Anolis sagrei: one gene and its partner. The protein of the gene in region 1 purifies or fractionates together with the protein of each later gene. This does not show direct contact. Links are inferred from orthologs where the notes say so. Each region holds a gene or a part of one and is shown on either strand. Other genes may lie near its edges. The genes, in order: PPIE and AQR.

What was found.
Region 2: the proteins of PPIE (region 1) and AQR purify together in Homo sapiens (affinity purification with mass spectrometry; 5 studies listed by BioGRID and IntAct, counting the BioPlex papers as one, with this or other methods). This does not show direct contact. The link is inferred for Anolis sagrei from reciprocal best matches to the Homo sapiens genes PPIE and AQR.

Annotation. Positions count from the first base shown.
Region 1 is NC_090034.1:84,715,314-84,731,020, reverse strand, and holds the start of PPIE (peptidyl-prolyl cis-trans isomerase E), read left to right. Parts: upstream 1-9,514; 5' UTR 9,515-9,582; coding exon 9,583-9,613; intron 9,614-9,814; coding exon 9,815-9,913; intron 9,914-11,563; coding exon 11,564-11,607; intron 11,608-11,888; coding exon 11,889-11,915; intron 11,916-13,463; coding exon 13,464-13,545; intron 13,546-14,438; coding exon 14,439-14,539; intron 14,540-15,212; coding exon 15,213-15,336; intron 15,337-15,707. Other genes in the region: PABPC4 (polyadenylate-binding protein 4), read left to right, coding at 504-597, 1,211-1,341, 2,252-2,338. UniProt on the Homo sapiens protein: Involved in pre-mRNA splicing as component of the spliceosome. Combines RNA-binding and PPIase activities.
Region 2 is NC_090021.1:294,767,313-294,782,598, forward strand, and holds the start of AQR (RNA helicase aquarius), read left to right. Parts: upstream 1-9,507; 5' UTR 9,508-9,555; coding exon 9,556-9,678; intron 9,679-11,917; coding exon 11,918-11,974; intron 11,975-12,604; coding exon 12,605-12,645; intron 12,646-13,684; coding exon 13,685-13,720; intron 13,721-15,286.

The DNA of each region.
Region 1 (15,707 bases):
GCCGGTCACATGACCAGGAGGTGGCAATGTAGGCTCCTCGGCTTGGAAATGGAGAACAGCACTTCCCCCAGAGCCAGAGATGAGCACCACTTCCAAAGCCGGAAATGAAAGGAGAAGCCTTTGCCTTTGTTTGTATATGTGTGTCTCATTGTATTGTAACAAGGCATTGAACACTTTTCCGGTATCTGTTTACACTGAAATCTGCCCTGAGTACCCATGGGGAGAAGGACAGAATATGAATCAAGGATGATGATGATGATGATGATGATGATGATTATTATTATTATTATTATTATTATTGTGATTAGTTCCTTTCTAAATCTCCTTCTGTGGTTTCAGGTCTTTCCATTCCCTGCTTGCACAGGTTCTTTCCTCATTTTCATGCAAAGTCCTTGAGTCTTTTTCTTGTAAGCAGGATATACAAATGCATTCAAGGTTCTCCTTGGTGGGGCCTTTCCAAATGTATTTGCTGTAACTGACACAGCCCTGTTCTCCTTCCTTAGGCGCCACAGCCTGCAGTCCATGTCCAAGGACAGGAACCATTGACGGCCTCCATGTTGGCTGCTGCTCCTCCCCAGGAACAGAAGCAGATGCTGGGTAACACATCCTTCTTACTTCCTTGGAGACCCAGGGATTTTGGCTTGAAAGTGCGGTGGTCATTGTTCAAATGAGGATGGTGGCCAATGTCACAATGAAGACGGGTAGCTGATTTTCAAATTCTAGATGCACTTCCATGTCTCTAGTTTAGTGGGGCAGAAATCAGTTACTCTGCTTATGTTGAGACCTTGAGGAATTCTCAAGAGATTTGCATGGCATTTAATCATCTCAAGGAATTTTGCATCGTTCCCCTTCGACCCCAGTGCTTAAATGGCAAGGCTTCACTTTGTTGAATGTGACTCGATGGCAGAAGAATTTAAAATACAACTGGGGTTAATGATAGGACTCAAGGAAAGAAGATTCTGCCTGAACATTAGGAAGAATCTCCTGACCTTAAGGAGATCTGTTCAACAGTGGAACTCTCTGCCTGAGAGTCAAGTTAAGGCCTCTTCTTGGGAGGCTTTGAAACAGGCTGGATGGCCATCTGTTGAGAGGGCTTTGATTGTGCCTTTCCTGCCTGACATTAGGTTTCTTCCAACTCTAGGATTGTGTGTGAGAGAGAAGGGTATCTTTTCCGCTTCCTTCCTATGACCGCCTTGTTTTGCTCCCTCAGGCGAGCGTCTGTTCCCCCTCATCCAAGCCATGCACCTCAGTCTGGCAGGAAAGATCACTGGAATGCTGCTGGAGATTGACAACTCTGAGCTGCTGCACATGCTGGAGTCTCCGGAGTCCCTCCGCTCAAAAGTAAGGGCCTTTTTTGGGCTCCATTGCAGATGGACTACTGCAACGCTCTCTATGTGGGGCTACCTCTGAAGATAGTTCAGAAGCTTCAACGGGTTCAGAGATTGGCAGCCAGATCGCTAACAGGAGCTCCATACAAGGAGAGATCCACTTTCATGTTGTGGCAGCTCTACTGGCTGCTGGTCTGCTTCTGGACTAAATACAAAGTGCTGGCCATTTCCTTTAAAGGCCTAAATGGCTCGGGTCCAGGCTATTTGTCCGATTGCATCTCCTCTTATAAACCATCCCGACCACTGCAGTCATTGGAGCAGGTTCTGCTCTTGGTCCCACCCCCATCTCAAGCACAGCTGGTGGGAACAAGAGAGAGGGCCTTCTCCGTGGTCGTCCCCCACCTCTGGAGCTCTCTCCCTAAAGAAATAAAGCTAGCCCCCTTCCTCCTCTCCTTTAAAAAACAACTGAAGACCTACTTTTCCTCATAGCATATGGAGAGGAGGGGGGTTAGATGGTAGAGAGATCACTGCCGGGCCTCTGATTGAGAATATTTGTATTTGGGCTTTTCTGTTCCACGCTAGCCCAATGACCTCATTTGACTCCATAACCAACCCATACCCTTTTGTGAACCCTTGCTGGCTGTTGAATGTTTTCTTTAGATTTCTGTTACTATAGAATTTTGTCTGGCTACATGTAGTTTGATTTACTGATGTTTTAATGTTACTTTCATATGTGGGGTTTTTCTGGGATTTTATGTTAGTATTGCGTGTTTCATGTAGGCATTGAGTGTTTGCCATTGTTATGTTGGAATCCACCCTGAGTCCCCTTGGGAAGATAGAGCGGAATACAAATAAAGTTTTTATTATTATTATTACTTAAGCCCCACTGACTTGGCCTTTTTGTGGATTTCTGCTTTTCTCAGGTGGAGGAGGCCGTGGCTGTGTTGCAGGCCCACCAGGCGAAGAAAGAAGCCGCCCAAAAAGTGGGCATCGTTGCTGCTACCTCTTGAACCCGGGAGGCTGGTAAGTGACCCAGGCTCCGTTCAGCTCATGGCTCTCAATTTGTCCCTTTTTTCTCAAAGCAGTTGAATAAAGTTGTGGCAAACATGTTTGCATCGAGCCTTACTTATATTAATAGTTTCTGCATGAGAGTATGGATGCTTTGTTTGACTATCACCATTTAAAAAAAAATTATGGCAACTATTGATGCACAAGAAGAAAACCAAATGCTTGAGAAACATCACTTTAGAAAAGTCTTATAGTTAAAAATCAGGATGGAGTTTTGTCCCCTATTTTCTTAATGATCATCCCAAACCATGTAGGAGTTGAAACAATGATGGACTGAACTGTGTGACGGGTGGGAAACTGGGAAGGATTGCCTTGAAATTATAACCCAGCTCTTTAAAGTGTTACTTTTCTACTTTTCTAGGTTGTCAAAAGCCAGATGTCTCGCACCTCAAAGAAACTTTCTGATAAAGACGTGTAGAAATGAATGTGTCTTTTACATTTCACACCAACATCACTCACAGTATTCCACTGCGTGAAAATCATCTTATATGCCTTATTTGCACCAAAAATTCCCCAAAAATACATAAACACACACTGAAAAAAACCCTTTGGGTCAAAATATACCATGCTTCCGATTAACTACCTTGCATTTCCATGACCAAGACCTTGAAATGTTTTTTTGGCTGACCAGACATTTTGTTTGGTTTTAATGGGATAATCCTGTTTGCAAAGCCTGGAGTAGTGTTTGTCAATAAACAGAAGCATTTCCTGAAATGGCTTGCCTTCTCTTCCTCTTTTTTCTCTCAAAGCAGCCGCAAAGTATGTGCCACACAGCTTTGAATGACCTGGGTTCAAGTCACGAGTGCTTAATGGTTCATTTAACTGCATGGAAACAATACTGAAGCTTCTGTGTAGACATGCCCTTTGCAGCTCTGATTAGGTTGCAACACGAGTCTGCATTGGATGCTCTCCATTCAGGGCAGGGTGAGTTCTTCATGAGGTTTGTCTGAAAAGCATCATTAGCAGCAGAAGGACTGAATGTTTAGAGCAGGGGTCTGCAAACTAAGGTCCAGGAGCTGAATACGCCCCTCCAAGGTCATTTACCCAGCCCTTGCTCAGGGTCAACCTAAGTCTGACATGACTTGAAAGCATACAACAACAATCCTATCTCATCGGCCAAAAGCAGGCCCACACTTCCCATTGAAATACTAATAAGTTTATATTTATTAAAATTGTTCTTCATTTTAATTATTGTAATGTTTTAAGTGTTTTTTGCACTACAAATAAGATGTGTGCAGTGTGCATAGGAATTCATTCATTTTTTTTCCCAAATTATAATCCGGCCCTCCCAACAGTTTGAGGGACTGTGACCTGGCCCTCTGTTTAAAAAGTTTGAGAACCCCTGGTTTAGAGGCTCATATACACTGTTTTATGAGCCTCTGAACCAACACAATTGGTGCTTACTCTATAATTCTCAAAGCGAAATGGTCAGAATAGTAAGAATCGGGAAACCAATATGCCTTTATGGTGTTGGGTCTGAGTTCATCTGCAAAGCCAACCAACCCAAAGGCCTATGAAATCATAGGGGGATTTGTGAACCTTAGTTGAGAGATTCAAAATCTCCATGCCATCCTTGTTGCACAAATACATTCCTTTTCTTACATTCATCAAACAAATGCTATTTTAAATATTAAAAATATCATGTGTTTTATCTAGCAGGATGTTGTGTCAAATAAACTATCATTTCCCAGTTAAAGTACTGAGAAGTAACCTCTCTTAAGTGCTGCTCTTTAGAGGCATTGGACCTCTTCAGATTACGTACAGCCAGAGAAACTAGTAACTATATAGATCTTTATTGATGAATTGTAAAGGTTTTCCCTGACATTAAGTCTAGTTGTGTCCAACTCGGGGGGGGGGGGGGGGTGCTCATCTCCATTTCTAAGCCGAAGAGCCGGCATTGTCTGTAGACACTTCCAAGGTCATGTAGCCAGCATGGCTGCATGGAGCGCCGTTACCTTCCCGCAGAAGCCATAACTATTAATCGACTGACATTTGCATGTTTTCGAACTGCTAGGTTGGCAGAAGCTGGGCCTAACAGTGGGAGCTTACTCCACTCCCTGGATTCGGACTGCTAACCTTTCAGTCAGCAAGTTCAGCAGCTCAGTGGTTTAACCCACGGCACCACTAGGGGGCTTGTTGTATTTTGTGGCAACAAATTCCTTCATTTTAACTACTGCACAAGAGTGTCATACAGGGGAAATCCAGACAAGAATCGATCAGGGCCAGCTAACACTTCCCAACAAAGGATCCCGAGGCAGCAACCAGCTAGACTTTGAAACTGCAAGGCCATTAAATACTAATCAAGTTAGCAAATGGCAACATTCACACTTGCCTCAAACAGACAAAAGCGTTCTTTCTCCCACCCTGGACATTATTCCACAGATATATAAATTTCACTTGCCTAATATCCAACAGACCTCACAACCTCTGAGGATGCCTCCCATAGACGTCATCAAAAATACTTCTAGAAAATGCACTTACAGCCTGGAAAACTCAAAGCAAACCAGTGATTCTGACCATGAAAGCTTTCGACAACACACACATACAACATCTAACGCTTTAAAAGAGAAGGACAAGATAAAAGGATGATTATTCAGAAGAAAAAGCAGGCAGAAACACACAAAGAACAGAAAAAAGAAATAGAGATTTTGAACTTTGAACAATGCCTAAGATTGAGATGGGCTATACAAATGGACTGGTTATATAAAATTATCTTTGGTGTAATATAGAGAAAAAGCATGATAATTATAAAATTTAAGAATAGATTTCTTGTGAAACGATCTTATGAAAAATTATGCTCATTTTCTATTGAAGAACTGGAAAAGAATATATGAAGATCACAAAACAATGTGAGAAGACACATTGAAGAGACAACCAATGGACTTAAAGTTGTTAGAATCTTCACTATTATAACAAATATGTGTTAAAGAAATAGAGATGAAGATTTAGTTGTAACGATGACAATTTTGTAAAAGGAACCCCCCATACCCCAACAACCCCCACCCTCTTTATTTTCTCCTTGCGGCATAATAGAGACTGTAAATATGCAACTAACCAATAACAAATCTATTTTCCCATTTTTTTCTTCCCCTTTCCCCCCACCCTCATGTAAATGTTTAATAAACATTATGGGGGGGGGGGGGGAGAGGTACAGTCAGTCTTCCACATTTTCAGAGGTTTGAAGCACAGGACCCTGGTGAAAGTGAAGAATACAAATAAATGTTTTGGTTTTTTTACTAGACAGAATATCTCTAGGAATGGATACAGGGGTTCTCCAGATGTTTTGCACTTCAATTCTCAGAAACCTCAGCTCCCTTGATCAATAATCAAGGATTCTGGGCACCAAATTTCATCATCATCATCACTTTATTTCTTAATTAGTCGCTCTCCACCAAATTGCTCCGAGCGACTTACAATTTAAAATAGCTTATACACAATATAAAACATTCAACATAAAAACATTCAGCAGTGACTATGGCAAAATTTGATCCAATTACTTAAATGCACAACCAAACAGCCAAGTCTTGAGCGCCTTTACAAAAGGTTGCAACTCTGACATTGCTCTAATATATGGAGGCAATGAGTTCCACAGAATTGGAGCATAGATCAAAAAAGCTCTACGCCTTGTAGCTTCCAAATGTGCCTCCCTAGGACCTGGTATGTATAGGAGATTTTCCTGGGTGGATCGAGGTGACCACTGATGGGGAAAAGGAATGAGGCAGTCCCTAAGATATAAAGGTCCTTGGCCATTTTGAGCTCTAAATGTCAGGATCAGTATCATGTAAGAGATCCGATGTTCTATTGGTAGCCAATGCAGTTGTTACAGAATCGGTGTAATATGGGGTCTTATAGATGATCCCGCTAGCAACCTGGCTGCCGCATTTTGGACCATCTGAATCTTCTGGGTCATTGACTTCGGAAGGCCAGCATATAAGGCATTGCAATAGTCCAACCTAGTGGTGACTGTTGCGTGGATTACCGTTGCCAATGCTTCTACCGAAAGGTAGGATGCTAATTTCCTTGCCTGGCGAAGATGAAAAAAGGCCTGCTTACTTATGGCAGTGATCTGGCCCTCCATCGTCAGTGATGAATCCAACACAACCCCAAAGCTTTTAACAGTGGCAGACGGAACCAGAGCTTCCCCGTCGAAATCAGGCAGAGACTGGGTTAATTCTGGCGGCTGGCCGGGCCAGAGTATCTCAGTTTTTGCAGGATTGACTTTTATTCGTCTTGCTCGTAACCAACTCATCACTGCTTCCAAACACAGCTTAAAGTTCTCAGGAATCACGGTTGTCCCAGGTTCGAGACGCAAGAGTAGCTGGGTATCATCTGCAAACTGGTAGCACTCTATGCCAAAGCTCCGCACCAGTCCAGCAAGTGGTCGGACGTTGATGTTAAATAACAGGGGCGAGAGGATAGCACCCTGGGGAACTCCACAGCAAAGGCAGGAGCTCTCAGAGCTTTGGCCTGACCACTCCACCCTCTGTCTCCGGTCGCGGAGGAATGAATTGAACCATTTGAGGGCTAAACCTCGTACACCAGACGGAGCCAATCGATGAATCAGCAAGTCATGGTCCATGGTGTCAAATGCAGCTGTGAGGTCCAAGAGTACCAATAGCGCTGATCCGCCTCGGTCTAACTGATGACGAATTTCATCAGTAATAGCTACCAAGACAGTCTCTGTTTGAAAACACATGGAAGACTACAGTCTGGGAAACAGTCTATAGTCAACTTACAATTGAAGCTGAACATAGATGCACACTGGAGGAACTAGTGAACTGTCCTCTAGAAATCCCTGGATCCTCCAGGATGAAGATTGAGTCACACTGGAGAACCTGGGATTCCTAGAGAGAACATATTTACATTAAATCCATGAATAAACAAACAGGAAAGATTAAGTCCCTGATTGTCCTCCATCCAAGAAAGCTTCAGGGCAATGCGTTGTTGAAGGCTTTCATGGCTGGAATCTCTGGGTTGCTGTGAGTTTTCCAGGCTGTCTGGCTATGGTCCACAAGCATTCTTTCCTGACATTTCTCCCAAATCTATGACAGGCATCCTCAGAAGTTGTGAGGTTTGTTGGATACTAGGCAATTGGGGTTTATATATCTGGAATGCTCACAATGAGGAAATAACCTGTCTGTTGGAGGCAGGTGTGAATGTTGTAATTAGCCACCTTCATTAGCCTTGAATATCCTTGCAGCTTCAAGGTCTGACTGCTTACTGCCAGGGGGAATCCTTTATTGGGAGATGTAGTTGGCCCTGATCTGAATTTATTATTTATTATATTTGCGGTATTTGTATGCCACACTTCTCAACCCTGAAGGGGACTCAGGGAGGTTCACAGTGTTGGCAACAATTCAATGCCATTGATAAAAAACAGTATAAAACATCAAAATTGTCCCTCCCTTGATAAAACATTAAACATTATTACAGTGTTCCCTCACTTATTGCGGGTGTTATGTTCCAGAACCACCTGTGAAAAGTGAAAATCCGCAAAATAATTATTTTAATATTTATATATCATTTCAGTAGGTAAAGGTAAAGGTTTTCCCCTGACATGAAGTCCAGTCGTGTCCGACTCTGGGTATGGTGCTCATCTTCATTTCTAAGTTGAAGAGCTGGCGTTGTCCATAGACACCTCCAAGGTCATGTGGCCAGCATGACTGCATGGAGCACCGTTACCTTCCCACCAGAGCAGTACCTATAGATCTACTCACATTTGCATGTTTTCAAACTGCTAGGTTGGCAGAAGCTGGGGCTGACAGCGGAAACTCACACTGCTCCCTGGATTCAAATCTGCAACCTTTCGGACAAGCTCAGCAGCTCAGCGCATTAACCCAATGCACCATCGGGGGTTCCTTATTTCAGTAGTTATACACTATTTTAAGTCTTTATAAACCCTCCCCAGACACTTATACACTACATAACCCTCCTTGAATGTGTTGTTCACATAATCCTCAGCTCCGGCTTTATCTGCAGAGGCAGCCTCTCCATACAGACAAACGCTCTTAAGGCCAGAGCGCTTCTAAAATTAATCAAACCTGCCATGTGATCGTAAAGTTGCTTGGCCTTAGTCCGACCACGCACACGTGAGTCCGATGCTAATGTGAAATGGAAAAGCAGAGAATAGCTGCGCACAAGATTGTTGTTTTACCAGGTAAAGGTAAAGGTTTCCCCTGACATTAAGTCCAGTCGTGTCCGACTCTGGGATGTGGTGCTCATCTCCATTTCTAAGCCGAAGAGCCAGCGTTGTCCATAGACACCTCCAAGGTCATGTGGCTGGCATGACTGCATGGAGCGCCATTACCTTCCCGCCGGAGAGAATGCCTCTAGAACATGGCCATATAGCCCGAAAAAACCTACAACAACCCAGTGATTCCAGCCATGAAAGCCTTCGACAATACAGACCTCACAACCTCTGAGGATGCCTGCCATAGATGTGTGCGAAACGTCAGGAGAGAATGCTTCTGGAACATGGCCACACAGCCTGAAAAAAATCACAGCAACCCAGTGATTCCGGCCATGAAAGCCTTCGACAACACATAACCAAAAAGTGGGAGGAGAGAAACCAAACCTAAAAATGTATTGTTGAAGGCTTTCATGGCCGGAATCACTGGGTTGTTGTAGGTTTTTCTGGGCTATATGGCCATGTTCTAGAGGCATTTTCTCCTGACGTTTCGCCTGCATCTACAGCAAGCATACTCAGAGGTAGTGAGGTCTGTCGGAAGTAGGAAAATGGGTTTATATATCTGTGGAATGACCAGGGTGGGACAAAGGTCTGCTGGAGCTAGGTGTGAATCTTTCAACTGACCACCTTAATTAGCATTTGGTGCCTGGGGTAATCTTTGTTGAGAGGTGATTAGATGTGCCTGATTGTTTCCTCTCTGTTGTTTTGCTGTTGTAATTTTAGAGTTTTTTTTTAATACTGGTAGCCAGATTTTGTTCATTTTCATGGTTTCCTCTTTTCTGTTGAAATTGTCCACATGCTTGTGGATTTCAGTGGCTTCTCAGGAGAAAATGCCTCTAGAACATGGCCATAGAGCCCGGAAAAACCTACAACAACCCAAACCTTCAAAGGCAGGACGCTCTGCTTTGACGCAGAAAGCAGTGCGCGCGCTCCTCCTTTTCCTCCTTCCGGCCGCTTTTGGAATCCGTTTCCGGTCGGAGGGGGATTGTGGGAAGGCAAATGGCGTCCACCAAGAGGGTGCTGTATGTGGGTAAGGAGAAAAGACTGGGAAGAGAAGGGGGCGGCTTTCAAAGCTGGGGAGACCTTGGAGGCGGCGGCAGAAAGGCGCCTCGTCGAGCCAAGCGGGCAGGAGTTCTTGGGCCTGGGTTAGGGTTAGACTTGTAGGCCTGCCCTCCTTGCCTTCCCAATGGCGACGTAAGGGGCCTCTCTCTTCTTGTCCCCGTCTCCCTAGGCGGCCTGGCGGAGGAGGTGGACGAGAGGGTGCTGCACGCGGCTTTCATCCCCTTCGGAGACATCACCGACATCCAGATCCCTTTGGATTATGAGACAGGTGAGGAGGAAGGTGGGAAGGAGAGGAAAGAGAAGGGAAAGGAGAAGGAGAGTAAATAAAGGGAGGAGAAGAAAAGGGAGAAGAAAAAGGGGGAGAGGAAAGAGGAGGATAAAGGGAGGGGGAAAGAAGAAGGCAAAGAGGAGGGAGAGAGGAAAGAGGAGGAGAATAAAACAGGAAGAAGAAGAGAAAGGAGAAGAAAAGGATGAGGAAGGAAGATGAGAACAAGACGGAAAGTGGAGGAGAAGGAGAATAAAAGTGGGGAGGAAGAAGAAGAGGGAGCGAAAAGAGGAGAAGAAAAAGAGGGGGAAAGAGGAAGAGGAGGAAGAGAATACAAGGAAGGCGAAAGAAGGAAGAAGAGAAAGGAGAGGGAGAGAAAATAGGGGGAGGAGAAGAAAGGGAGGGGGAAAGAAGAAGGGAAAGAGGAGGAGAATAAAAGAAGGAAGAAGAGGGAGAGGAAAGAGGTGGAGGAGACTAAAAGGGGCAGAAGAATAGAAAGGAGAATAGAAGGATAAAGGAGGGAAGATGAGATCGAGACGGAAAGTGGAGGAGAAGGAGAATAAAAGTGAGGAGGAAGAAGAAGAGGGAGCGAAAAGAGGAGAAGGCAGAAAATAAAAAGGGGAAAGAGAAAGAGGAGGAAGAGAATAAAAGGAGGGGGAAAGAAGGAGAATAAAAGGAAGGAAGAAGAAAACGAGATGGAAAGTGGAGAAGGAGATTAAAAGGGGGGAAGAGGAGAAGGAGGAGAGTAAAAACGGGGAAAGAAAAGAAAAAGAGGAGGAAGAGAATAAAAGAAGGAAGGAAGAAGAGGAAGAAAAGAGGTGGAGGGGAATAAAAGGGGGAAGAAGAATAGAAAGGAGAAGAAAAGGATGAGGAAGGAAGATGAGAACGAGACAGAAAGTGGAGGAGAAGGAGAATAAAAGGGGTGAGGAAGAAGAAGAGGGAGCGAAAATGAGAAGGAGGAGAATAAAAAGAGGGGGAACAGGAAGAGGAGGAAGAGAATAAAAGGAGGGGAAAGAAGGAGAACAAAAGGAGGAAGGAAGAAGAGAACGAGGTGGAAAGTGGAGAAGGAGAATAAAAGGGGGAAGAAGAGGAGAAGGAGGAGAGTAAAAACATGGATGTGGGACCAGGTCTTTGGGTAATCTGTCAAACTGACAAGGACAATGGCGACTAGAGCTTTGGAAAGCATTATGATAATGCTGAATGGACTTGTGGATTACAGAACTCGGCGAACGTTGGCCACCAGATTGGCTTTTTTTTATTAGTTGTTATTGTATTAGTTGAATGTTTTAACTATTTATAATTGTTGCTGTTATATATTTTACTATGTTGAATTGTTGGCATCGAATTGTGCCGGTTGTAAGCCGCCCTGAGTCCCCCCTACTTTCTAATGTTTTAAATGGAGTCTCTGTTCTTGCAATTTGTATCCATTGCTCCATTTGTCCTGGTCTCCAGAGCAGCAGGAAACACACCTTTCCCGCTCCTCAGCGAGACATTTTTTAAATGTTTCAAAGAAAAACAGTAGTTATTTTTCTGACCTGCCTTTTTTCAGTATGAAATTAGGCTTCTCATAATAGTTTTACATGGAGGTCTGGTTGTCTATTGGTTGCCCATAAGGTTTGCTAAACTGATTATCCTTTTCTCATATCTCTGCAGAAAAGCATCGGGGTTTTGCTTTCATTGAATTCGAACTGGCTGAGGTAAGGAAATGCTGACATGTTGGCACCCCAAAAACCAAACATTTTTTGCAGAGGGATCCTATAGCACTTTAGAGCCCCAGAGAACAAGGTGAGTGGGCTAAGCTTTGGTAAACTCAGTTCTGCCTTCATCTCACTTCTTGTTGTTCAAGAAGGACTCTCCTTAACTTTAAATGGCACAAGGAAACCTAAAACACAGTGACCCCCAAGCATGGTATTTGGGGGCAACTTGAAATAAGGGATGATGAGTTATCAGTAAAAATATATCTTCTTTTCTTCTGTAGGATGCTGCAGCCGCCATCGACAACATGGTACGTCTCTCTTTAGATTTTCTGAATTTCATTTTGTGGAAAGATGAAATCCCCGCTCATTCCTAACAATATTTTCTGGTAGAAGTGAAGTAATCTGTTTTATAGACTCCGCTTTGATGGTAGGTTTGTGCACAGAGTCCTTCATTTTGGTTTTGCAAAAAGCACATAGAAAATCTCCCTTGTTCCAATACAGAGTTCTAGCTGAATGGTTCCAGTAAGATTTATTTTTAAATTAAGCAGTCTGACTTTTATGTGCTAAAAAAAAGAGAATACAGAATGAGGATGTCAGTTGTATGAGGGTTCTCCGGAAAGTAAGGTTACAAGGGACGTAGCTCTCGCGGGGAAATTTCTCGTAGGAAGTTGGTATCACTTCCATGTAGCGGGAAGCCAGCGGAAGCGAACAAGTAGTGCCAGTCATCAGTAGCTCATCGACTGGCGTGGTGAAGGTTAGAGATGAGCGTCCTCATTCCATTTCCCTCCGAGTGCAAAGTTTGTGCTGTAATACGCTACTGAAATGCTAAGGGCATGAACGCTGCTGCTATTCATGGCAAAACCGTTTCAGTTTATGGAGAAGATAGCATGTGACAAAATGGGTACGGAATATATTGTGAGACCATGAAGAAACTTCGCAAAGCCATCCAGAACAAATGTGATGGGATACTGACGGCGGGAGCCTATCTCCTTCATGACAATGTGCATCTGCACACCACTCATGCAACTCAAGAGTGGTTGACTTCATTTGGTTGAGATGTTTTAAGCCACTCCACTCACAACCCCGATCTCACACCCAGTGACTACCATCTGTTTACTAAATTGAAGGAACACCTGGGTGGAAGACACTTTTCCAACCACGACAAGGTGAAAATCGGAGTGATGAACTGACTGAAAAAGGTAGAAGGAGACTTCTATGACACAGGCATCAAAAACTCATCCCACTGATGACAAAATGTATTGAACTAAATGGTGATTGTGTGGGAAAATAACGTAATACCTATGCTGCAATCCATGTAAGTTTTATTAAAATATATTCATTCTTTGTCTTTTAAAAAATAGATATAACCTTAATGTATTATTGAAGGTTTTCATGGCTGGAATCACTGAGTTGTAGGTTTTTCTGGCTATAGGGCCATGTTCTAGACCTCACAACCTCTGAGGATGCTTGCCATAGATGCAGGCGAAACGTCAGGAGAGAATGCTTCTAGAACATGGCCATATAGCCCAAAAAACCTACAACAACTCAATTATAACCTTACTTTCTGGATAACCCTCGTAGAATCCAGTGGCAACAAAGAGGGCCAGGGGCAGGGAAATTAGTAGTGTAGTCCACTGAGAAATATGTGGGCATGAAAATGACTAAAGTGAAAGTATGGACAAACATGTTTTGCCTGCTTTAAGAGCCAACATAGTAAAATGGCTGCATTTATCCGGGACAGTGAAGTCCGTTTTCCTACATGATACTCATGTTAAGATGCTAAATCTAACCTACCTTATGTTGGGCTTGTATGAGAATTACATGATGATTTCAAAGTAATCCTCTCCCCTCCTTAGAATGAGTCTGAGTTGTTTGGGAGGACAATCCGCGTCAACTTGGCCAAACCGATGAGGATCAAGGAAGGCTCCTCTCGCCCAGGTAAGCCATGCAATTGGGACAGGAAGAATCATAGAGTTGGAAGAGACCTCGTGGGTCATCCAGTCCAACCCCCTGCCAAGAAGCAGGAAAGAATGGTTCTTCACCTTTGTGTTTCTGTTTGTGTGTACTTTTGGACCAGGGGAGATTCTGTCTGTGAATCCTGAGTTAAATATACCTGAATAGGAAGGTTCCAAAGATTTTTTTCATCTTGTGTATAAACATCCCAGAAATACTTATGTAACAAAATTTGGAAAAAAATGCTCTTCCTAGTTTGAAAATACGTTTTAATTGTGTGGTACTTACTTTGAAAGCAGTTGTTCTACTCCAGAAACTTCGTTTTTGTGGCTGCCACAATCTGTAGAATTGGTTGAGACTGGGATATTCATTGCTGCAGAATATCCTGCAGGATGTGCCGCAGAAGTAAAGTTTTTGCAGTTTAATAAACCTTTTCCATATTTTTATGATAGGGCCCCCTGGTGGTGCCGTGGGTTAAACCACTGAGCTATTGAACTTGCTGACCGAAAGGTTAGCGGTTTGAATCTGGGGAGCAAGGTGAGCTCCCACTGTTAGCCAAGCTCTTCCAACCTAGCAGTTCAAAAACATGCAAATGTGAGTAGATCAATAGGTACTGCTTCTGCAGGAAGGTAATGGCGCTCCATTCAGTTGTGCTTGCCACATGACCTTGGATGCATCTACGGACATCGTCTTAGAAATTAAGATGAGCATTACCCTCCAGAGTCGGACATGACTAGACTTAATGTCAAGGGGAAACCTTTACCTTTACTACCAATTAGGCAATTACATTTATAGCCCTGGACCAAAATCATATTACATAGTGGTATCACTTGATTAACGTTTCTGTTTTCTCATTGCCTTCCATTTTCCTTTGACAGTCTGGTCGGATGATGACTGGCTGAAGAAATTCTCTGGAAAGACGCTTGAGGAGAATGTGGAGGAAGAAGGGGCAGAGCCAGCCCGGTCAGAGGCCCAGGAGGTGCGTGGCCATCTTTCCTTCGGTTAAGTAAGGGGCAGTTGGGGTTCTGTAGGTTTTGCACTTTTAGCACTCCACTTTTGGCCACGGCCTTAGAGCTCATTTTCACACAACTCTTTCTTAGGGGCTGGATGAAGTCATTTAGCACCGCCAAACCTGTAGGTACCTCCAGATTGGCCTGCATAGTTTCCATGCCCATATAGACAATGCGTGGTGGGATAACAGATGCCGAGGTTAGGCAGCCTGATGTCACACATCCTTCAGCTACAGTTTACCCCTTCTCTCTAGACATTTCTAGGTCCTCCAATGCCATTCCATGGTCTTCCATGGCAGAAGTCGACCACAGAATTCTGTTGGAAGACTGAAGAGTTCCTATTGAGGTGTTCTCTCATGTAAAAGACATCACAAATTCTGTCATGAGGGCCCTATGCCCTTAGTGGGAGGGCTGGCTGTAGCTGACGTCAAAGCTCAATGTAGTATAGATTGTAGATCAATGTAGCAAAGTGGATATTATTAATGCACAGTGTTTTATGTTGCAAAGTTATTTGTCCTCAAGTGGTTTTCTGGGGTAGGTTATTTGTGGCCATGGGTGCTATGCTTACATGGCAGATAATTAGGCTCCGACTCACTTGGCTGAGATTTATCATAGAATAAGCTGTATCTCTCCCTGTTTTAGGGAGAGCCACCAGCAAAGAAGTCAAGGGCAAACCCCCAGGTTTACATGGATATCAAGATTGGGAACAAGCCAGCTGGCCGATTGAACATCCTTCTGCGATCGGACATTGTACCTATGACTGCTGGTAAGCAAAACCTCTGGCTGTTGGATATTGTGTGTCTTCAAGTGCCCAATTCCATGGCCCTATAGTTTGCTGTTTGCACTTTCCCATGCCCAGCTCTTTTGATAGCCAGGTCATGCCCATTTTAGTAGCCCTGGATCCGGATTTGAGTATTGATTGGGTGGAGTTTTGATGCTAATGTTTTATACTTTTATGTCTATTCACTTTGTTTTAAAATGGACAAATGCTCCACATGATTATGTTCTTATTTTAATTGTGTATTTGTTTCATGGATTGTTCGTTTATTGTCTTATGGACATTTGGTCCCATATAAGCTGTCCCTTCAGGGAGATGGTGGCAGGGTATAACAATAAAGTTGTTGTTGTTATTTTAAC
Region 2 (15,286 bases), on another chromosome or scaffold:
AGCATTAAGAGGAATGGTAGTTATCAAGAGGTTTTCCATTATTTGAGTCTACTGGGAGGAGGCTGATAGCCATGCAGTGGATGGCTTCACAGTGTTCTTTTTTTTTTTTTTTAACTTTTTATTTTTACAATACAGAAAATACATACCTTGCACACACAAAACATTTACAATTCCCACCACCAACATGAGGATTATTATCTTTCACATATTCATTTCTTTTTGAGACAATCATTATTTCTTTATCTTTATACATTTCCATCCTGTATGCTATATAGCATTTGTATCTTATTTCTTATGACCTGATCTCCAGAATGATTCATAATATAGTTCATTACCCTTGTCCATCTATCTTCCATTTCTCTCATTCGATTTTCATTGATTTTTAAATCATTTAATTTCACATTCATAATTTCGAATTCCATTTGCTCCACCATATAATGGTACCATTTATTTATTGTCCATTTTGATTTATCTTTCCACCCTAATACTATTACTGCTTGTGCACATTCAATTATTGCTTCTTTTATTTCCCTTTTATTTCCCATTTCCTCTCTTTTCCCTAATACCGCTAATTCCTTTGTTATGACCCACTCATTTCCTAATATTTGATTTGCCACATTTTGTATAGTCTGCCAAAAGTCTTATACATATTCACATTCCCACATCATGTGCATAAAGTGCCCTTTCTGGTGACATCCATGCCAGCACTGACTACTCCCCTCTTTATAGTAGTATGCTAATTGGCAGGGTGTGCGATACCATTTGTGCAATATTTTCCTCCTCGTTTCTCGTACTTTAGTATTCCTTTCCATCCCTATTATCTCTACCACATTTCTCATTTCTTGTTCCGAGATTTGTAACTCTGTTTCCCACATAGTTTTCAAGTCCTGTATTGTACATCCATCGGCCTCTATTAGCATTGTATATATTTTGCTGGCCTGTGCCTTCTTTCCTTCCCCTTTTTCTCTTATTATCTTTTCAAAGGCGGTATCTTCTCTCTTAACCATATTGATATTTTCTTTTGTTTTGCAATATGCACAAATTGCTCTTATCTGTAACCAGTTTTCTTGCCCAAGCCATTGTTTAATTTTATTCTCCCTTACCTTTCCCTCTCTGTCATATAATTGTTCTACTCTCTCTATTCCTTTTTCCTTCAATATCTGGATATTTCTATTCATATTTGATTCCTTATCCTTGTTAATTATCCATACTGTTGACATTTTGGATTTTAAACTACTTATTCTCCCTTGCCATTTCTTCCACACTTGCATTGTTCCTTTCATTGGTCCTGTTAATTTATCTATATTTCTCTTATCCCATTTTCTAAAAATTATTTCTTCACAATTAACTCCATTCATTTCCTTTTCAAATCTCACCCATTTTTTATTTGTCACTTGTAATTCTATTGCTCTTTCAATTTGGAAGGCATCGCTATATAGCTCTAGGCATGGGCAGCCCCATCCCCCTTTCATTTCTTTTGCAATTCTCAATTTTTTCCTTACTCTTGGTCTTTTCCCCCCTTCAACCCAATAATTTAGTTTCCTATCCCATTCCTTTAATTTTGCTAAGGGAGGGATTCCTGGGAGAGCCTGAAATAGATATATAATTTTTGGAATTATCAATATTTTCAATGCCCTTATCCTAGACATCTGTCTCAAATTTTTATTCTTCCACCTACTCAATTGTTTTAACATTCTCTTCCATGCCATTCTGTAATTTCCATCTATTATTTTATCAAGTGTCTTATATATCCAGATTCCCAAATACTTAATCTTTTTAATACCCAATTTTAACCCTGATTCCTTCCTTATCTCCAATTGTTCCCTTGGGGGTGTATTGATAAATAATATCTCTGATTTCTCCATATTAACTGATAGCCCTGATTCTTTTTTAAACTCCCTCAAAGTTAATTGAATTGATTTAATCATTTCCCTTGGTCTCTGTGTCAAAATTATTGCATCGTCCGCATACAGGTTCAATCTCAATTCCTCCTTCCTCCCAATCTTATACCCTTCCCATGTTTCATCCGTCCTTATTCTATGTGCTAGGGGTTCTATTGCCAGAGCAAATAACATTGGAGATAACGGACACCCCTGTTTGGTCCCATTTTCAATTTGAATGTTTTCCGTTCTTTGTCCATTCACTCTAATACAAGCTGTATTTTCCCTATATACATTTTTGATCATTTCACAAAAGTTATTTCCCAAATTTAGTTCTTTACATAATCTGTACAAATATACATGGTTTACTTTATCGAAAGCTTTGTACACATCTAACTTTAGAATTGACAGTTTTCTTTTCATTTTTGTCGAATGGCAAATCGCGTTGACAACATTCCTTATTGGCTCATTGATTCCCCGCCCTTTAACGAACCCATATTGGTCTTCTCCTATAATCTTTGGTAGAATAACTTCCAATCTATTGGCTATAATTTTCATAAATATCTTATAATCTTGGTTTGCTAAACTGATCGGACGATATGATTCTGGGAGCTCTGGTTGTCTATCTGGCTTCAAAACTGGAATAATTTCTGAAAGTTTCCATGTTTCTGGGACAATACCTCTCAAATATACCTCATTAAACATTGCTGTCATATATGGTACCAACTCATGCATAAAGGTCTTATAAAATTCTGCTGTGTATCCATCTATACCCGGTGCCTTAAATTGTTTCAGTCCTTTAATTACCTGAATTACTTCTTCCTGTGTAATTTCTTCGTTTAGCATGCTTTTATCCTCCTCATTTACTTTATTCCCAATTTTTATTTCTTCATTTTTCACCTGTTCTTTTTGGTACAAATCCCTGTAAAATTCTCTCATTATGTTTTCTAGTTCCTTTCTCCCTTCTTTCACCAATCCATTTTTGTCTTTAAGTTTTGTTATGCATGACTTTTTCTTTCTCCTCTTTAAATATCTCACCATTTGTTTCATTGATTTTGTACCCCATCCATTGATTCGTTGTCTCACACACTGTCTCATTTTATTCCATTGCACCTCATCCATTAATTCCAATTCTTTCTTTTTCTGCTTTAGAATACTATTTATATTTTTTCTCCTTGTTATTCTCAGTTGTTCCTGTATTAATTCGATTTCTTTTATACATTTTTCTCTTTTCTCTCTCCAACTTTTCCTTATATGGGACTCAATACTAATACATTGTCCTCGTAATACACTTTTAAATGAGTCCCATACCACATCTTTAGATAATTCTCCAGTATCATTTATTCTGTAATATTCTTTTATCTCCTCCTGAAGCTTCCTTTTATATTCATCTTTTCCTATTACCACCGAATTATACCTCCAAATTCTTTGTCTTATCTCATTGCTCAATCCCACAGTTGCAATCAGGGGACTATGGTCCGACAAAAATATTGGTTTCCTTTCTACCTTCTTTATTTGAGCTTTACTTGCTTTGTTTATTAGAATATAATCTATACAGCTAAATTTATTATGTCTTGCTGAGTAATAAGTATCTCTAATACTCTGATTTGCATGTGCATCCACCATATTAAGCTTATTTACATTTACTGCTTTATTAATTTTAGTAGTTAAGTCCAAATTGAAATCACCTGCCCAAATCAATGTCCCTTCCGCATAATTATCCAGCTTCTTTTTTGTATTCAGTATATACTGTTTTGTGTTTCTGTTAGGTGCATACATCACAGCTAATGTTATTTTAACCTGATTTATCTTCCCTTTCACGAATACAGTTCTGCCTTCCCTATCTTTTTGAACATCAAGCACCTCAAATGGAACATTTTCATTAATAAGAATCGCTACCCCTCGTGAGTTCCCTGTCCCCCTAGATTCAAAAATTCTATTCCATGTTTTATCCTTAATCAATTTATCCCTCCCCCTCTTTTTATGAGTTTCCGATAACATCATCACATTTATTTTACAGTCCCTTGCCAATTTCAACAATCTATGAATCTTGAGATCTGCATTTCCATTCAAATTTAGTGCAAGAATAGAAATATCACACATTTGTTTTGTTTGATTTCATTTTTGTATCTCCCCCTTGTCTCTTCAGCTTCCTTTCTTCTCCTCTCACCCTTTTTGCCCCCCTCCCTGGATCCCCAATGTGCCCCTTCCCCTCTGAGTCCAGTGCTTCCCCTTCTCTCATCAGAGAAGGATCTGAAAGAGTTATATTCTCTTCCCTTCCCAGAGTCCTTTTGGTGGCTGCGTTGCCCTTCTCCAGTTCCCCCTCCTGCAAAAAAAAAGATTTTTTTTTTAAACCCAGTTTGTCAAAAGTTTTTTTTTTATGCTTGCATCTTGGATCTTGTCTCCATTCTTCTTGATTCCTCTTTCAGCTTTTGCTTTTTCAGTTCTCTCAACTGTTTTTCTAAAGTTCGTATTTGATCCAAGTCCATTTGCTTCAAATTTCTTAAATCTATAGTCTCTTGTAAATCTTGTCCTTGCTCTCCTTCCCTGTTCATCGAGTCTCCAATAACAAATAAACTCTCAGTCCGCTCGCCTCTGTCTGCAGCTTCCAGCTCTGTTGATGTTATCAGTCCAGCTGGCTGTAGAGTGTCCTTGGCCTTTTTCCTCCCCTTCTTTCTTTTGAGACTTCTGTGGGCCTCTTCGTTGTCTGATTCCTCTGTCTCATCCGACACTCCCCCTTCTGTACAAAATCTCAAAAGTCTAAGCATGGTCTTACCACTAGCCAAATCTGTAGCTTTAAATAATTTGCCATCTTTATAGACAATTAGGGTGGCTGGAAAAGCCCAAGTATAGCGCTGGTTCTTTTCCTCCAGGACTCTTGTAATTTCCTTCATTTGTGCTCTTTTATCTAATGTCTCTGATGATAAATCCAGGAGAGGCCAGACCGTTTTGCCTGCCAAGGTAAGGTCTTTTGTTTTTCGGAGCTGATTATACACTCTTTCCTTCAAAGCCTCTCTTGAGAATTTGATCAAAATGTCTCTGGGTTTTTTTCTGCCTCTGTAAGCCCAGTGCACTCTTTCTATATCGTCTGGTATAATTTGGGTCAAGGTCTGCAGCCAACTAACAATATTTTGTTTTAAATTGTCATTTATCTGAAGATCCTGCCCTGCTGTTCTCAGACGTATATTTGCCCTTCTAGACCGATCTTCCTGGTCCGCAATCTTGTTTAGAAGATTTTGCTTTGCACTTTCTAAATGTTGTTTTAAGTTGGCTATCTCCTCTTTCTGTTTTCTAGTCTCCTCTTCCACCTCCATAAATTTTCCTTCGTACTGCTGCACCTTTGACTCCATTGATCCCAGCCGGGTATTAATCATTTTAACTTGTTCTTTTAATTCATCATTCCCCTTCCTTAAGCTTTCAGTGCTTATCTTAAGTTCATTCAATGTTTGTAATATTTGGTCCAGCTTCTGCCCCCATTCCACTCCCTCCGTCATTATGGAACTCACGTTCAGTTCTTTCCTTCGCTGGTCTTCTGATTTATTCTATGAGGATTCAAGTTTCAGTCACTCAAACCTCGATCTGCTTTTCTTCCTCCTTTTCCCCGACCGGGTCCAAGTTGGAGACAGGTTTACGGTCTTCCTGGGCTTTTTAAAGTAAGCTTTATTTATTTTGCAGTTAGGGAGCTCTTTTAGGCACGTCTATCTTATTTGACGCATGCGCAGCTCCCCCCGGCTTCACAGTGTTCAAACATATTTTTCTCACAATTAGCAGCAACTTCCTGTTGCACATGGCGGGGAGGGGGCAGCACCAGCTAGCTTGTAGAGTCTATCAACAGGTGTAGGTTTGAGACATCCTGTGATTATTCTGCATGTTTCATTCAGTGCTATGTTCACCTGCTTCGCATGAACTGACTTATGCCAAACAGGGCAGGCATACTCAGCAGGTGAGTAAGACAAGGCCACGGCTGATTTTCTTATTAATTTTGGGTCTGCTCCCCATGCACTGACAGTAAGTTTCCGCAGGATGTTATTGCGTGCAGCTACTTTGTGCTTGATGTTCAATGGGGCTGAACCACATGAAATAGCCTTATCCTGCACTGAGTGTGGGAAAAGGCATGTGGGTCATGTAGATACCAAGATGTAGATTCTCATAGGCCCCAGGTTATATTGCCTGGGTAGGTATGCCCTGAATCAAGGAAGACACAAACCTGAATTTGCAAGACCTCAGCTGGGCCTGGAGATCTTTCATTCATAGGGTTGCCATAAGTCAAAGTCAACTGGATGACAATGAACGACAACAGTGTATATAAGGTTCCCTGTTTTCTTTTTCCCAAAACGCAAACCAGGTCAAGTAGCTTTAAGAACAGAACTCTTTCACCAAATGCAACTGTTGGTCCCAACTAGAGTAGACTCAAGAGAACTTAAGGTATATAAGGAAAGACTTATCATGTTCCTATTCATTCAGTGAGTCAAAAAGGAGGACTCAAACTGGACTCAGGTTAGGAACTGCATTATATGGTCAATGAAGACCCATATAATGTAGTTTAACTGTATAGAACTCCATTATATGGGTCTACGCTTGTTGCATTATATGGCAGTTTGAGTTCCTTCCCTGATACTTCCATTCCTGAGAAATCTTTTCCTATGCATTTTTCTAATCATTTTCCTAATCATTTCCTTTCCCTCTTCAAAACATTTCAATGTAAAAGGATTTCTTTCTAAATGTTGAAAAAAAAAAGTTTGTCAGCATTTGTCAATATTTGATACTGTTTTATAATGCAAAGCATTCATGACATCACTAGGTTCTTGTGGGTTTTTTCGGGCTATAGAGCCATGTTCTAGAGGCATTTCTCCTGACGTTTCGCCTGCATCTATGGCAAGCATCCTCAGAGGTTGTGAGGTCTGTTGGAAGTAGGAAAAATGGGTTTATATATCTGTGGATCTACTTCCAACAGACCTCACAACCTCTGAGGATGCTTGCCATAGATGCAGGCGAAACGTCAGGAGAAATGCCTCTAGAACATGGCTCTATAGCCCGAAAAAACCCACAAGAACCTAGTGATTCCAGCCATGAAAGCCTTCGACAATACATATTCATGACATCCCTTAAACACCATGTAATGCATATATAATTTAGAGAATTTGTTTCAAGAATCTCAAAGTGAGAGTCTAATTTAGAATATAAGTTTTAGGCTAATATGAGAACTGATATAAGATGGACAATATATATATATATATATTCTAAAAGAAATTATAAAAAGAAATTGTACAGCATCTGCTGCTACACCAAATGCCCACAAGAGGGGAGCATTGATCACAGCCATTTCCACTAGTTCAGAAACCGTTTGGAGTATTTGGCCTCTAAGGGACAATCAGCTTCTACCTATTGTTAGGGATTATGGGAGTTGAAGTCCAAAACGCCTGGAGGGCCGTAGTTTGCCCATGCCTGTTCTAACCAGCCCATGCCTGTTCTAACCCCCTGCCAAGAAGCAGGAAAATTGTATTCAAAGCACCCCCGACAGATGGCCATCCAGCCTCTGTTTAAAAACTTCCAAAGAAGGAGCCTCCAAAGAAGGATCCATAATATCCATCATGTTTTACAGCCAAAATGCATTATCAAAAATGTTCTATGATCCGAAATGCTTTAACTGCCATGGCTCAGCTCTATGCAATCCCAAGAATTGTAATTTGGCGAGACCTTGTAAAACTACAACTCTCAGGATTCCATAGCAATTGAGCCATGGCAGTTAAAGAGGTGTCAAACTGCATTACCTCCACAGTGTAGGTGGACCCTGAGTGAAAGACAGGGATAGCAGAAGCTCTGGTAGAGTTTAGGACAGGCATGGGCAAACTTTGGCCATCCGGGTGTTTTGGATTTCAATTCCCACAATTCCTAACAGCCTACTGGCAAAATTGATGCAGTTTGATACCAATTTAACTGCTACAACTTAATGCTATGGAATCCTGAGAGTTGAAACTTGGTGAGACCATGTAAAACTACAGCTTCCATAGCAATGAGTCATGGCAGTTAGAGCGGGGTCAAACTGCATCAATTCTACAATGTAGATGCACCCTGAAAGACAGGGATAGCAGACGCTCTGCCTTAGTTTAGGGTGTATCTACACAGTGGAAGTAATACTGTTTGACATTAGTTTAACTGCCACAACTCAATGCTGTGGAATTCTGAGAGTTGTAGTTTGGCGTGGCCTTGTAAAACCACAACTCTCAGGATTAAATAGCATTGAGCCATGGAAATTAATGCTGTTTGATATTAGTTTAACTGCCACAACTCAATGCTGTGGAATTCTGAGAGTTGTAGTTTGGCGTGGCCTTGTAAAACCACAACTCTCAGGATGAAATAGCATTGAGCCATGGAAATTAATGCTGTTTGATATTAGTTTAACTGCCACAACTCAATGCTGTGGAATTCTGAGAGTTGTATTTTGGCGTGGCCTTGTAAAACCACAGCTCTCAGGATTAAATAGCATTGAACCATGGAATCAGTGTCAAACTGCATCCATTCTACAGTGCAGATGCACCCTGAGAGGAAGACTGGGATAGCAGAAGCTCTGGTAGAGTTTAGAGTGCATCTACATTGTGGAATTAATGCCGTTTGACACCACATTAACTGCCACAACTCAATGCTATGGAATCCTGAGAGTTGTAGTTTGCTAAAGCACCAGCCATATTCAGAGCCATGGAAGCCGTCATGCCTCAAGAGGCTATGCAATCCTGAGATTTGTAGTTTGGTGAATTTGGCACAGAAGGCTAAACACCTGGAATATTGTGTCCAATTCTGGGCACCACAATTCAAGAGAGATATTGACAAGCTGGAATGTGTCCAGAGGAGAGCGACTAAAATGATCAAGGGTCTGGAGAACAAGACCTATGAGGAGCAGCTTAAGAAGCTGGACATGTTTAGGCTGAGAGGGGATATGATAGCCATGTATAAATATGTGAGAGGAAGCCACAGGGGGGAGGGAGCAAACTTATTTTCTGCTTCCCTGGAGACTAGGACGTGGAACAATGGCTTCAAACTACAAGAGAGGAGATTCCATCTGAACATGAGGAAGAACTTCCTGACTGTGGGAGCCGTTCAGCAGTGGAACTCTCTGTGGTGGAGGCTCCTTCTTTGAAAGCTTTTAAACAGAGGCTGGATGGCCATCTGTCAGGGGTGATTTGAATGCAATATTCCTACTTCTTGGCAGGGGGTTGGACTGGATGGCCCATGAGGTCTCTTCCAACTCTATGATTCTATGATTCTATGAAACTACAGCTCCCAGGATTTCAATGTATTGGAACATGGCAAAGAATTCGCACCCTAAGGGCCTTCCACACAGCTTTATAACAAGCAGAGACTCCCACAAGATCTACTCTGAACTGGGTTACCTGAGTCCACATTTCTATATATCCCAGAATCAATCCAGAAAATGTGGGATTTCATTCAGTTGTGTGGAAGCGCTTCAGGCATTTGAGGAGTCAAGACTTCCGTCTACGCTGCCATGGCAACAAGGAAAGGCGGAAGGAGGAGGGGAGCATAAACTTGCGGGACCGGAAGTACGCGAGGCCGCTTCAGGCAAGGCGCGGGATGCTATTCGGCGAAGGGGGAAAGGGGCGGGTCCAAGCGTAGAGCGTGGAAGGGGGAGGTTCCCGCCCGGAAGAATCGTAGAGGGAAGATGGCGGCTCCGACGGGAGCCGTGGCGGGAGCGTTTCCCGCGCCGGCGGCTTCGCCTCTGCCTCCTCCCAAGAAGATTGTGGCCCCCACCGTCTCCCAGATCAACGCGGAGTTCGTGACGCAGGTGAGCATCTCCGCCTGGCCCTCAGGAAGGAGACCTTGAGACCTCTCTGGCGGCGCCTCAACATCAGCCAGGCATGGGCAAACCTCGGCCTTCCCTCCGGGTGTTTTGGACTTCAACTCCCACAATTCCTAACAGCCGGTTAGGAATTGTGGGAGCTGAAGTCCAAAACACCCGGAGGGAAGGCCGAGGTTTGCCCATGCCTGGTCTGCACTGTAGATATTCTGGGATTTAAGCCCTAGTTTCCACAGTTAGAGTCCAATGCTCAAGCCCCTACATCACATTGGCCTTATTTAACTAAAGGTCTTTGAACGCCATTCAAATTCTACAGCACTGCTGGTCACAGCTGACCTCCAGCTGAGCGCTCAAGAGTTTTTAAGGTTGGCTTTGAGCCCATCTTTGAATCTCTTTTCCTGTCTGCCAACATTCAGTTTTCCGTTCTTGAGTTCGGAGTAGAGCAACTGTTTTGGGAGACGGTGGTCTGGCATCCGGACAACATGGCCGGTCCAGCGAAGTTGACGGCAGAGGACCATCGCTTCAATGCTAGCGGTCTTTGCTTCTTCCAGCACACTGACATTTGTCCGCCTGTCTTCCCAAGAGATTTGCAGGATTTTTCGGAGGCAGCGCAAATTGAATCGTTCTAGGAGTTGCATGTGATGTCTGTAGATAGTCCACATCTCGCAGGCATATAGCAGGGTTGGGAGGACAATAGCTTTGTAGACAAGCACCTTGGTATCCCTACGGATGTCCTGGTCCTCAAACACTCTGTGTTTCATTTGGAAAAATGCTGCACTCACAGAGGTCAGGTGGTGTTATATTTCATTGTCAATATGAGAAGCTCTGCCTGTCGTTGAACATTGAGAAAACCAAAGTGCTTTTCCAGCAGTCACCAGCCAATCTCTCCCCAATGCCAGAAATACAGCTTAATACTGTAACATTAGAAAATGTCGACCATTTCCACTACCTTGGCAGCCACCTCTCCACAAAAGTCAACATTAACACCGAGATTCCAAGATATTTAAGGCCTGGGTCAGAAAATAGATTTTACTTCAGTGGATTTTTGCTTAGTTTCCTTCCTGTTATCCTGGAAATTCTAGTGTTTACAAGAGAGATGACTTTCACCCAAATGTCAAAGGGGCATGTGACATAATGTCCACAAAGTTGTAGAGGGGTTTCTTAAAGTAGGGTCCCCCTGTTATGTTCTGGTCATCGACCGTAATAAAGTTTGTTTACTAGAGGAGGAGAACCAGGTTCAGATTCCCATAAACATGACATTCACTGCATGACTTTAGGGCGGTCAGTCTCATATTGGCCTACCTCACAGGGTTGTTGTGAGGACAAACTGGAAGAGAGCAGTTTGCACTGTCTTAAACTCATTAGAAAAATGTGAGATATAATATTATTCAAGCAAACATGTTCAAAGTGGGGAGATGCAAACTTTCTCTCTAGACCAGTGGTTCTCAGCCTGAGGGTCCCCAGATGTTTTGGACTTCAAGTCCCAGAAATCCTAACAGCTGATAAACTGACTGGGATTTCTAGGAGTTTTAGGCCAAAACACCTAGGGACCCACAGGTTGAGAACTAGTGCAGTCATAGATTCATAGAGTTGGAAGAGAGCTTGTCGGCCATCCAGTCCAACCCCCTTCCATGAAGCAGGAAAATCGTATTCAAAGCACCCCCAACAGATGGCCATCCAGCCTCTGTTTAAAAGCCTACAGAGAAGGAGCCTCCATCACACTCCAGAGCAGAGAGTCCCACTGCTTAACAGTTCTCACAGTTAGGAAGTTCAGAATCTCAATTCCTGTAGTCCCTAACTGTCTTACACATTTGTGTTGAAGAAATGTTGAAGAAGCCATTGTTCTGCATCCTAGTCTCCAGGGCAGCAGAAAACAAGCCTCCTCCCTATGACTTCCCCTCACATATTTATACATAACCATCAGGTCTCCTCTCACCCTTCTCTTCTGCAGGCTAAACATACCCAGCTCTTTAAGCTGTTCTTATTCTCCAAACCATTGATAACTGTAGTCACCCTCTAGACACATTCCAGCTTATCAGTACCTTCCTTCAATTCTAGCGACTCAATCTAGACTGAGTAGCTAGAATTGACATGGTATTTATTCACTTTGACAATTTAGAGCACTTTGACAATATGGTAAAAGCTTGTTTGGATTTCTGTTTGCCTATTTTAATATTAAGTCAATACAGTGACATATTTCAATGCCATAGTCTTTTTTTCCTTACAGTTGGCCAATAAGTACTGGGCACCACATGTCAAGAAAAAGCTACCATTTGAATCAAAGGTAATAATTTAATATATTATTAAATTTAATATATTGTTCGGTATTTAATTGTAAATGCTTGACATTAATAGGAATCCTGTTAAAATTATGTTTACTTTTAAGATAATTAAGAATATTGATTTGATTCTAGCTTTTCTTGATGTTTTAATGCAGTTTTAAATATTTCTGTGTTTGCTTTTTTATAATTCTAAATGTATCATCATTATTCATACTTTCTATTATTGTTATTATCCTATGCTACTTTTTTCTCTGAAAGAAACTCATAGCAGTGAATAGTGGCAAAAGCAATACAATATACTATTTAAAACCCAGGGACTATAAACATTAACATAGAATTTAACATAGTACAATTTTAAAAAGGAATAATTATCACCATTAAAAGCAGTCAAATCAATTTAAAATACAGAAAAATATGAATACCTGTTAAAGTTATTATACATTGAAGATGGTTTGCTTTAAAAGAAGGGCTTTAAAAATATTTCTGTCCTTTATTGTTCTTTCCCTGTAAATTGTTTCAACTTTATTGACGTTTCTTCTACTTCCATATCATTGGAAAGATACTAATCTTACTAAAGCAACCATCCTAGTGCCTATCTAAAAAAAGCTCTCTCTCTCTCTCTCTCTCTGTAGGTTATTGAAGATGTCTATGGCAAAGAAATTGTTAGATCAAAGTATGTACCCTAACTGTCTTACACATTTGTGTTGAAGAAATGTTTCCATTAAAAAAAATCCTAAATTGCATTCTCTGAACTACCTAATTGTATGATGTTGTGACCATAACCATTGTAATGTGCAGTTGAAATTGCTTAGTATGATAAAAATGTCAGGGTAGCTGTCTTGACGGTTGAACAGTTTCCAAAATGCACACCCAAATTACCATCTGGCAAAAGGGAGGGAATACTACAATTGGACATGTTTAAGATGCAAATGTAAAATGTTAGATTGGAAGGTGTCTCTGGGAGCTTTAAGCTGAGGACCATATCTGAACAAAACTGGCCCTATGACTAGACTGGGAAGATGGAGGCAGCCTCCTCAGACAGAAAGATGTTGGAGGTTGTAGCGTGCCTTTAGCAATGCCTTCTGACTCCTTGCCCCTCCAGTCATTTCTCTGTTTTGTTCAACAGAATCTAAAATACAGTAAGACTCCCATACCTATGAGTGATGCCTTCCCGGATGGATCTTGGTTGCATGCTTCTGCCCAGTCTAGTAGTTGGAAAAGCCCTATTCCTCATCTTAAAGCTTCCACAGACTCCAAGGCATGCTGTCAAATTGTCTGGAGTACCTGGTAAATTACAGAAGTCTACAACATTGGAATATAATTAAAAGATAAAAGGATGCTCCACAGCTTGGGAGCAACCAGCGAGAAGGTTATCTCTCATGTCCTCATCAAACATGCCTATGATGGTGGTGAGGATTGTGCAACTACTTATGCTAATTATTTTTATGCACACATATTTTGTAAAACTTTGTGTCTGTTTTGGTGCAATTCCTTCCTGAGACTTTTCACTCCAGCTTATGTCTGTAGAATGGAATTGTCCCAACAGTTAAGCCATTGAAGTGTATGAGATGACATGACAGTGTTGCAACATGAGACACGCGTTCAAAGGTCACAGACTTTTTAATCAAGGCATTTGTGTTTGAGTACAAATTACGGAAAACTGATGTAGACCAGAGAAGGTTTCATCTGTGTTTATTTGTTTTTGATTTCAGATTTGCTATTCGGAAAATAATGCTCCTAGAATTTAGGTAAGTGTTCTAAGTTATCTATCATGGTTTAGAATGTCCCAGGTTCAAATATGTCCTTAGCCACACACTCAGTAAATGAATTCTGCAAGCCACCATTTCCTAACCTTCATCTGCAGCATGGAAATAATAGTATTAAACATACCTTGAAGAGTTGTTGAAGGGATAACTAAGATAATCTTTAGAAAATATTGTCTGTATTCTATGTCTTGACAACTGATTTTATTAGTTTTTAAGAATAGAATGTACAATGTGTGAAGCATTGTAGTTCATTATTTTAGTAAGCTGTATCCTAAAATGTAAAATCTACTGTTAGCTCTGTATAGCCATCATGGCCATGCTGGTTAGCAAAAAATGGGAGTTGTAGTACCTCTGCGCCTCTGATTGTCATTTTTCTATTTTGAATAGCATAGGGAAGGGTTAGCACCCCTGAAATGTTTGTTTTGCTGTCTGTGCCCCTGTTCGAAAGATTTCACCTCACTCTCTGTTCGTGACAATTGGATTTTGAAAATTTTGGGTTGCCATTGAAACAAGGATTGGTGAGAAAACTTCAATGGAGAATCCCATTTCCCATGATGATGCTTACAGGAGTGAATTTCCCTTCCGGGGAGCAGATTTCCTCTCACTTCCTGTTGCCTTGCCCCTGTTCGTCACTGAGGGTTGTATTTTAATTCAGATGTTTATAGGTTGGGGACTGCCTGTAATTGATTTAATTCACACAAACTTTTGTGCATATAAACCCACTTTCTCAGTTGAATATTCAAGTTTTGTTGCTCAGGAGAGGGCAGCCCAAAATTCTGAGTAATTTTCTCTCTCTAAACCAGTCTGTGCTGGTGGTGATAATAACCTGAAAGAGAAGTGGAATTTAAATGAGTTATCGATAAAAAGTTTGTGCTTGGGACTATCCTATTCGTAACCCAGGGACTCGTGTTATTACGCATAGTCAGAGATGTTTATTTTATGTACATTTTTTCATAGACCAGGATCAATGTAATAAATCTGTTACAATAAATGCAGTCATATAACTTCAAGTTGGCTCTCACTAATGAAGACTGTATCATTAACTTGACAACATTTCATCAGAAGTTTGTTATTACCTTCCTCTAAAGCTGAAAGAGTGTGACATGAGAGAGGGTACCCAGTGGGCTTTCACAGTTGAATGGGAGTTCATATTCTGATCTCCCAGAATCATAGTCCAATTCTCAAACCACTTCACCTTATAGTCAGTTAATGCTGGGGAGAGGGGAAGGTCATTGTTGTTATATAATTAAATGTATAGAGCAATACTACCAATGTGCTTCTGAAAACACAAAAGAAATCATTTTGAGTCATTCTAGGCTGATTTATTTGTAGCCTCTCAATTTTAATAATTTTCACTGGCATTGTGGAACCAGTGCTCAATTTTAGTCCTTTTGTTAAATGTCTGTGGTGTTGGCACAGTTATCTCCTCTCTACTGCTTTATTTGGCATAATTATGATTTGTCTAAACCAGATTTCTTTGTCTTGGGAGGCAGTCTTTAGAGTCTTCCAGCAAGTGTGTTGAAGTCTGTCCCTTATGTAGTGCAGATG